Oryza sativa Japonica Group: one gene and its partner. The protein of the gene in region 2 interacts with the protein of the main gene of each other region in a pairwise test. Links are inferred from orthologs where the notes say so. Each region holds a gene or a part of one and is shown on either strand. Other genes may lie near its edges.

The links.
Region 1: the proteins of protein farnesyltransferase subunit beta (region 2) and protein farnesyltransferase/geranylgeranyltransferase type-1 subunit alpha interact in binary tests that used the Arabidopsis thaliana proteins (3 or more experiments, as listed by UniProt). The link is inferred for Oryza sativa Japonica Group from reciprocal best matches to the Arabidopsis thaliana genes ERA1 and FTA.

The regions. Positions count from the first base shown.
Region 1 is NC_089043.1:24,433,961-24,438,320, reverse strand, and holds the start of protein farnesyltransferase/geranylgeranyltransferase type-1 subunit alpha, read right to left. Parts: upstream 3,100-4,360; 5' UTR 2,991-3,099; intron 2,708-2,990; exon of another isoform or gene 2,705-2,707; 5' UTR 2,695-2,704; coding exon 2,443-2,694; intron 1,491-2,442; coding exon 1,381-1,490; intron 1,216-1,380; coding exon 1,095-1,215; intron 946-1,094; coding exon 850-945; intron 597-849; coding exon 156-596; 3' UTR 1-155. Other genes in the region: uncharacterized protein, read right to left, coding at 3,883-4,053. UniProt on the Arabidopsis thaliana protein: Essential subunit of both the farnesyltransferase and the geranylgeranyltransferase complex.
Region 2 is NC_089035.1:31,376,027-31,380,394, forward strand, and holds the start of protein farnesyltransferase subunit beta, read right to left. Parts: upstream 2,942-4,368; 5' UTR 2,927-2,941; coding exon 2,556-2,926; intron 2,458-2,555; exon of another isoform or gene 2,439-2,457; intron 2,246-2,438; coding exon 2,159-2,245; intron 2,060-2,158; coding exon 1,957-2,059; intron 1,505-1,956; coding exon 1,469-1,504; intron 997-1,468; coding exon 914-996; intron 835-913; coding exon 781-834; intron 676-780; coding exon 624-675; intron 558-623; coding exon 493-557; intron 410-492; coding exon 353-409; intron 261-352; coding exon 188-260; intron 1-187. Other genes in the region: pentatricopeptide repeat-containing protein At4g32450, mitochondrial, read left to right, coding at 3,150-3,250, 3,732-4,368. UniProt on the Arabidopsis thaliana protein: Catalyzes the transfer of a farnesyl moiety from farnesyl diphosphate to a cysteine at the fourth position from the C-terminus of several proteins having the C-terminal sequence Cys-aliphatic-aliphatic-X (CaaX).

The DNA of each region.
Region 1 (4,360 bases), on a different chromosome or scaffold from region 2:
CATACGATGCACAAGAACACAATATTGGAGTAATATCAGTGATCAGTTATGCCCAAGGAAAGTTCATAACAAATGTAGCTAGGCACCTCAACGCCCAGAATCACACGAAGATAGAAGATATCTCCATTATGACCTCATGGAGGCCACTGCATGCTTCAGGTTTGAGAAGAAATAGTGGTCCTGTACCAGGACCAGTAATTTATCCGCAGGGGATCACATCTCTGCAATATTGAGCAGATTGCAGTCGCAAGATCAGCATCTACTGCTTCATCTGCTTCAGGATCAGAGTTCTTTATTGCTTCGATAGTTCCTTTGAGTTCATCTGAAGGTTGTAAACCAATTTGAAGAAGATCGAGCAGCAAGCTCAAAGCAAATACGCAGGTCGAATCATGTTTCAGGACCTTGAGACAAACATCAGAGATGCGCTCATCAGCCATCAGCAAGTTATTTTCACCCTTGTACAGGCCTTTGAGGTATCTCCAGGGGCTTTCATTCTGAGGGTTAGCCAGAATAGCCCCAACTGTGTAATCCACTTCCGAGTCACGCATTGCTGCAAGGCCTCCAAGAAGTGGTGAACTTGTTATTACAAGGTATCTCTGTTGCAAAACAAACATAACATACTTCAGTGTAATCATTTGATCTTAGTTAATCAGCCAAAAAAAGTCAGAAAGGAGACAGTAGTAGGACAAAATACCACGTAAAGCAAGAAGAGAAAGAATCAATGAATTTAGTTAATAAATCATGAACCGGCATATGGATTTTCAGACTACTATTCAAGATGGGACGAATTAAAAGTGAAATTGTATAATAAACTAGAAATTTTAAAGCCAAACAAGCATATCAACTGACCTGATTCCAAGCTGAATTATTGAAGACGTCTTCCTCAAGCAGCTGGTTGCAATACTGTAGTTCAGTCTCCCATCCACCCAGTGCTTGAAGAACCCACTGCAGCAGTAATGATACATAAATTATATTATTAGAACTCAGCTTTCCCTCAAAGGTTTGCTCAGTGCAGCACTCAAATATAGATAAATGAACTCAAACGAGTATCAACAGCCTAATTTTAGCGCACATCGAGAGGAAACATTATATACCTGCCTATGAGACCAAGCATGGTAATTTTTAGCATCCATAGAAAGTATCTTCCTTGTAAATTCGTGCTCTTTATTTGCAATATCTGGTCCTAATTTCTCCGCAAGCCATCTCTTGTGATGCCTGAGAAAATATATATAGTACTGGGACGTTAATCAAGATTTCCCAACAAAAAAGCAGAAGAATGAAGTTTTAATTACAGAACGCTCAGAATTAATGATAGCAAGTATAAACTTCATGAAAAACTCCACAGCTACCAAATATGGGTATAAACTTAATGTCACTCACCAGATTTGATAATTTTTTGGGTTACATTCAGCAATTCGGTCCACAAAATCCATTTCCTCACGCAGATCAGCATCCAGTGCCTCTAGAACAAGACGCCTAAAATGCCACACCTATCAAGCAAAAAAAGATCATTAAGTTCAAAACTGGCATCCAAATGAAATGCATGACGCTAAACACATAACAAGGAAAGACAATTTTACATGCCACCATGTTTTGTTGCTTGTTAAACTCAGAACTGGGAGAAATTTGCACATTCTGCATGCAAAATGCCAATGAGGCAACAACAGATGGCTGAGTACAAATTTGGAGGGAGCAAACAAAGTAAAAGTCCTATTATGGATATGGACTAAAAGCCCCAAACATAATTTGGTACAGTACTACAGTATATTTTAATTATATTTATCTTTCTGATCATGAAAAGTACAGCGGAAAAACTGAAAATTTGATAAGTCTGAAAGAGACACCACCACAGTATGCAGATTAAAATCAAACACTAACTGTTTTCTCCTGCTCTACCATAAATCTAGACATTCTCAATGCGTCCACAAGAAAAAAAAATTAATCAATTTTCCTAAATTTGTCTTGCCGCGTTGTGTCTCCAAAACAACATTATATATGCTAGTCAAGCTTGCCATCACAGTTATACTTTTATAATCAAATTCCGAAATAGATAAATCCGCCAAGATACCACTAGCTAAGCCGGAATTTGCCAATATCCCAACATGCTACTCTTACTATAACAAGTGAAGGCTAGTTCTACATGTACATAGGCCTTGTTTGGATGCTCCGAGCTATTAAATAGCCCTCCGGAATCTTGCTATTTAGAAGTATTAAACATAGATTACCGATAAAACCGATTCCATAACCCCTAAGCTATTTTGCGAGACGAATCTAATGATGTATATTAATCCACGATTAGCGGCTGATTACTGTAGCATCACTGTAGCAAATCATGGATTAATATACCTAAACAGGGCCATAGTTCTAAATGAGCAAATCTCCTGCACTGCAAATTCAATTTCCAACATGAAAAAAAAGGGGGAATAACACGAGCAATCTCACCGTGTAGTTGCCGGGATTAAGGTCGATGACCTCGGCGGTGAGGTGGAGGGCGCGGACGCTGCGCTCGCCGGCGAAGTAGAGGGCGCGGAAGTAGTCCATGACCTCGCGGAACTCGTCCCGGTAGGCGATGGCCACCACGGGGTGGGGCCCGTCGTCCTGCGTCACGGGGACCACGTCCGCCAGCTCCGGCCGCCGGCTGGGTGGCAACCACTCGTCGGAGGCACCCTCCGACGACGTCGACGACGGCGCCATCGATCAGATTCTGCTGCAGCCAGAGAAATCAAACAAAAAAAACACAAAAATCGAATCAAATCCTCCACTAACTGCAGTCCTAAACCGCAGTGGGATGGATGGATCTCCACGCTCACGGCTCACGTATCACTCCACGCCGGCCTAGGATAGTAGAGGAACTCCACGTAGGCGGTGGAAGGGATCAGGTCTCTCTTCCCCCTACAGCGCCGGCGAAGGGGAGTCGGATGTGGCGGCGGCGGCGGAGGAGGAGGAGGAGATGAGGGGGAGGGGGGAGAAGAACGCGAGGGAAACCTCACCGGAGACGGCGGCGGCGGCGGCGGCGAGGAGGGCGGCGCGGCGGTGGCCGCGGGTCGTCGTCGAGAAGACGGCGAGCGGAGGAAGGAGGAGGAGGATTGGAAGCGCTATGACCTTAATCCAGCCATTGGTTGCTTCTTCAACGGCTGGATGGTGATGACTGCGCTGCTTTGACTTGCAGTCAAGGCTGTAACTTCAGCCTATATCTGCACCCACTTGTCATGGACTCAATGGGTTCCATATAACATTGTCACAGGGTGATAGTAACAAACTAAAGAGTACAAAAAGAGTAATCAGCAGAATTCAGAAACGAACTTAAAAACAGTGCAGGATTCAGGTTTTGGTCCTAATTACTCCATAGGATTCAGGTTTTGGTCCTAAATACTCCATAGATTATTTACTTCAAATATAAATTACTCCTTCCATCCCAAAATATACGTTTGCTAGTAGTATGTTTTTTCCAAAGAACTTTTATCTATTAGATTGCTTACACCACTTATAACATATTTGTTAATTTTTTAAAAAATATTTAACCCATAATCGAGAGGATAATCCATTGCAATAATCTGGTAAATAAATCGTTTGAAATAGAGCCTATAACCCACAACCAAACAAACTTAAAAATGATAATAATTCAACAAATCAATACTGGTGATAAGTGATAACTCAGCATAACAAACTCAAAAATATTTGGCAGCTGAACAACGAATACTGGTTTTGAGTTGTCATGAATTTTCATCATAATAATACCACACTTCCGAGGGGGAAAAAAAGCCCAAAAACGACACAAAAAACATGGCTGGAACTCTGAAAGTATATTATGTACAGAACTGGTGATCATCGCAGCTTGTGATGAAATTTGCAGCGCCACACCGAAGAACTACTAGTTTACTACTACTTGAAGAAGAACTTCCAGATCTCCCTCTCTGGGGGCTCAGAGACGAGGTGCGCGCCAAATGCGCCTTCTTCATCCACCAGGGATCGGAGCTGCCGCACCGCGCTGCTCGAGCCGATGTAATTCTTCCTTGCAGCAAGGTACATCACCCCATATGGCGGCCTTAGGCACTGCAAGAACCAAGAACAGAAGTTTTAGTGCGGAGTACATGTTAAGGCTATGAAGCAGGTTCTGTTCCAGAGCAGACGGCAAATTCGGACAATGCATTTGATATTATCTGGATAAACGAGAAGGATGAGATGAAGACAGTCCCAGAAACAAGGGGAAAAGAGCCTTGCAGCGAAGCTAAGCCAATTCCTAAGTCTAATGCCAAAAAAAAAAAAAACTCAGTTCTTGGTCTGCTGTAAAGTCTGATATAAGGAAATTCGTCTACCCATACTAATCTCCTGCATATCAATGCAGAGTGACCTCAGGGAG
Region 2 (4,368 bases):
TAGTGTCTATATGGTGTTTTCTAATACATCTACTCAGCATTGTACAACTAGAAACCGAAGGACCACATCCAAATACCATGGTCTTAAAAGTTCACATTGCCTACCACTAAACCCATGGAAATTAGAAGTAGCGCTACACAAGTTGGAATAGAAAGAGAACTGAATCAATCAACAGAGGTTTCCTTACAATCAAGCTAGCCAAATCAAGTTTGTCCACTTCGTTAAGCAGGATCATCGTAGCCAGCCCACAAAAAGTGTACCTTGTCAAACCAAAGCAACTATTACTTAAAAGATCCAAATAGATACATACAGGAAAAATAAAAAAAAACAGAGATCCTCCGTTGAAACATACCCACCATGAGCTTCAGCATACGGTTCCCCAGCAATGCCACCTTCATAGGTTTGACACCTGGAGGCATTTAGTTTAGGAACTAACCAGCCATTCTATATTTTACAGCTGGAAAATTGACAATGACAAGAGCCAAAGCAAACCTTGTTATGTAATTTCCAACACCTTTTGCTAGTTCACCATCAAGAATGTTCACAAGGCTGGCAACCTAACAAAACAAGAAAAAAAAATCAAAGAATTGCAAAGAAAATACTAAGGGAGCAAAGAAACTCACCGATATTGCAGTATAGCTAGCACGAACATCTATTTCACCACCATCATGCATTCTGGTCAAAGGATAATAAAATGAGTGGCAGATATAAGGTGTAAGGAACTCGACATGGAAAGAAACTATTTTCTCCCCACTGTTTACTACTTGAGAAAATGCACACCTGAAAGCTCCCGATGTATCTTTCATCCGAAGCATGAACTTGTACAGGTTGTCCCTGATTTACACCGTAGAAATTGTTAACCATATGATACAGATGGAAGCATATTTAGTCAACATAGTGCCATAAGAATTACCTGTTTACCGATGATAGTGCCCTTTCACTCCCTATAGTTACAAGTGTATTTACAGCAGCATAAGTTGTAGCGAGATGAGGCAACTAGCACAAAGAAGTGAAATTGACATCAAAAAATTCGCCTCATACTAAATTAACCTTATCGAGTGAGTTCGTAAAACTGAACTCAAATTAGGAAGATCAAAGAACAGTCAAGATTGACTATTCTAAAGTTTGCACGAGTTGGATAACACAAGTCAAAGCACTAACTTTGCCATCAAAATGAGAACCTGTAGTTATATAAACACTTTAGGCCATCAAATACCCAAAGATAAATTGATCTTCAGATATTTCATCACATCGAACTTGTTTGAGATGGTCAATTTAGTTAGGGTAGATGTTGAGTAGCCTAGACTGGCCCATCTAGTCATTTGAAGCAAAAGATCAGTGTTCACATGGTTTGTTGAAGTTTTGTATTGCCTAAGATAACGACAACTAATGTGAAATGTTAACCAACTCAAAGCTATATTACCCAGCCACAAGTTTGGAACCCAAAAGTTTGAGGTTAAGAGAAAACCTGTCCAGGTCCTCCGCCATAACCACCATCTTTGTCCTGAAAGAATCATGATAATAATGGCAATGAAATCTTCAGAATCACATGTATGTGCAAATCAATATCTTCAGTTATTTGCTATGTATCCATAAGCAAATTCATGTTGTACCGAACACTTTATGAGAAAGGAAAGGGATAACATGAACTAACTAAGTGGAGCAGAACAAAGATAGTTGTGCTATCCTTGATATGCATGAAAAGTTACATGTGGGTTCAGAAGATTCATTCAGACACCCAGCTTGAGACTTTAAAAATTCCACAAGACCTTAGAAATCTAGTGGAACTATTTCTTCGATTGAACTTTGTTATCACCTCAGTAAAGGAAAGAACAAAGTACTGAAAAATTGACTTGTTGAGTTGGTTTCTTTACAGACGCATGAAGAGTGGTAACTAATGCATATTTATGTAGTAAGAGTAACATTTTTTTATATAATACCAGCAGTTTAACAAACCTGACATCGAGATAAGAAGTCCACAATATCATCCTCAACATCGTCAGGTATTTCATCCAACAGAGCAAGTGCATGAATAATCCAGTAGCACAGCCAAGGTCGACTAGAACATAATTTTAAAACCAAATATATACATCAACTTCGCATAATCTCATTTTAAAACCATATTCTGCTATATAATTCAATACCGGAGAACCATTACTTGGCATCGAGCACATGGAAGCTTGGTCCAAGATGTTTCAGCCCTCTCGTCAAATACTCAACATGCTGCTCACGCCACAGCTCTAACCTGAAGCAGTAAACATACAACCAAATCTCGTAATAAGGAGGTGGGGAACATTAAATTCTCAACCTAACTGGTAACATTAAGCTTCTGTGACTGTGAACAACATAACCAGGCTATATCTACACTGTGTAATTGATAAGGATGAACTAATTACGGAACTAAGTCAAGCTAAAATTTAGCAACAACGATATGATACCCGCACCCATCTAGCACATCTCTCGCATCCCAATCCGCCACAGCACTCTACATGCACAAACACTGCGAGTAACTAAAGCAAAGTGATAGCGACAGCGCTCTCGAAGGGTTCGCTTACATGAGGGAATTGGCGTTGGGCGCGTTGCCGAAGAGGACGCGGTAGATTTCGCCCACCTTCGCCTCCACCTTCATCTGCTCCACCTGCGTCACAGTCAGCCGGGGCAGCTCAGCGGCCTGGCTATCCGCTGCCGGACCGCCCTCAGCAGCAGCAGGAGGATATGGCGGCGGCGGCGGCGGCGAGGGGGGGTCCATGGGCGCGGTGGTCGGCGGCGCGGAAGGCGGCGGCCTGCGAGCTCGCTGCAGCCGCGGGGATCTCACCGAAAGGCGGCGAACCATGTGCGAGCCGGAGAGGCAGCAGCCGTGGCCGCGGTGCTCTTGTGGGCCCCGGAAGACGGGGAAAGCGGTCAAGCCAACAACCAGAAGGCCCATTGGGCCTTTGCCTATTTGGGCCTATTCCCATCGGACGACTCAAGTGCAGCCACGTACGCAAAACGCGGCCGAGGAGAGGCAGTCGCTCCTTCTGCTTGGCGGCTGGACTGGAGAACGAACGGCCGCCGCATCGTCGCGAGGTTTTTAGGGGAGGGAGCCGCCGGAGAAGGGGGAGGAGAGGAGGAGCGCGCCGAGGTCGGAGGGAGGAAGGAGGAGGAGAGAGATGGCCGCCATGGTTGGAGCACGCAGGGCCCTCCTAGCTGCCCGTTACTCGCCTCGCGGCGCGCTCGCTTCGCCCGTCCGTCGCGTGGATTCGCCGCCCAGGTACCGCACCGTCGCCCCACTAAGCCCTACGGCGAGTCACTGTTTCCTTGCATCAATCTTGGGTATTCAATAGCGTTCGTTTGGTTTAGTCTTAGTTCTCTCAGAGAACTTGTGATCTTCTGTGCTAGAAGGCTAGAAGCGAAGCCACAGATTTGCAGTCCTTTCTCTAGAGAGAGATTTTTTTTTAGGAAAGAAATTGTCCTTTTCTTACTTGTTCATGGAGGCCAATCATGGTTTGAAATGGAAGCTGTGGCACTCATGCGCCGAACGCAGATACAGGGTACTTGATAGTTGTTGTTCCTTTTTTATGCTGAAATGTTCCCACTCGTTCAATAATCAATCCCGACTTACAAGTCCAGAATACATAGCTCCACAAAGCTGAACAAACTCGTTTTACTCTCTGGATTTCCAAGTTGATAACCTGATGATCGTGTGTTTCTTTCCTGTAAATTCACTTTCTCCATTGACTACTGTGCTGCAGTCTTCCAGCTGACAGAGGTTGTCTGTGGCCTTTGGTTCCACATCGAGGCGCTGGCAATTTCGCATCAGAACAGATCGATGGGGACTATCACCGCGAATGGGGAGCACGTAATGATGGGAACTACAGGGAGCCCCATCGAACTGATAGTCTCAGCCACCAAGTTCAGGCAAATCTCCCTTCAACTGATTCCTCTGTAGGAGCTGATAGAATTAGAGGTGTGAGTGGTGATGGAAGTGTCAATGCTAATTACAGACGCAATCCTGGGCAACCGGAGTTTCCAAATCGTCATGAGCCGTACAGTAGTGCAAGGGTGAATAATGGAGCATCTGGATATAATGACAGGCAACCCTATGGCAGTGCCAATGCACAGTACAGAAGCAATTCTGCGCAGCCTTCCCAAACAGGTGGACCATATGGATTTGCGAATCGTAATGAGCCATATACTAGTGCAAGAGTGAATTATGAAGCACCTGGATACAATGACAAGCAACCTTATGGTGGTGGTACTACATACAACCAGCAAATCGCTAATGGGGATCTACCAAATTCCCAGTATAGCCGCAGACAAGGTAATAATAGTGGCGTTTCTGGATATGGTACAGGGCATCATTATCATGGATCTGACACATACAGATCT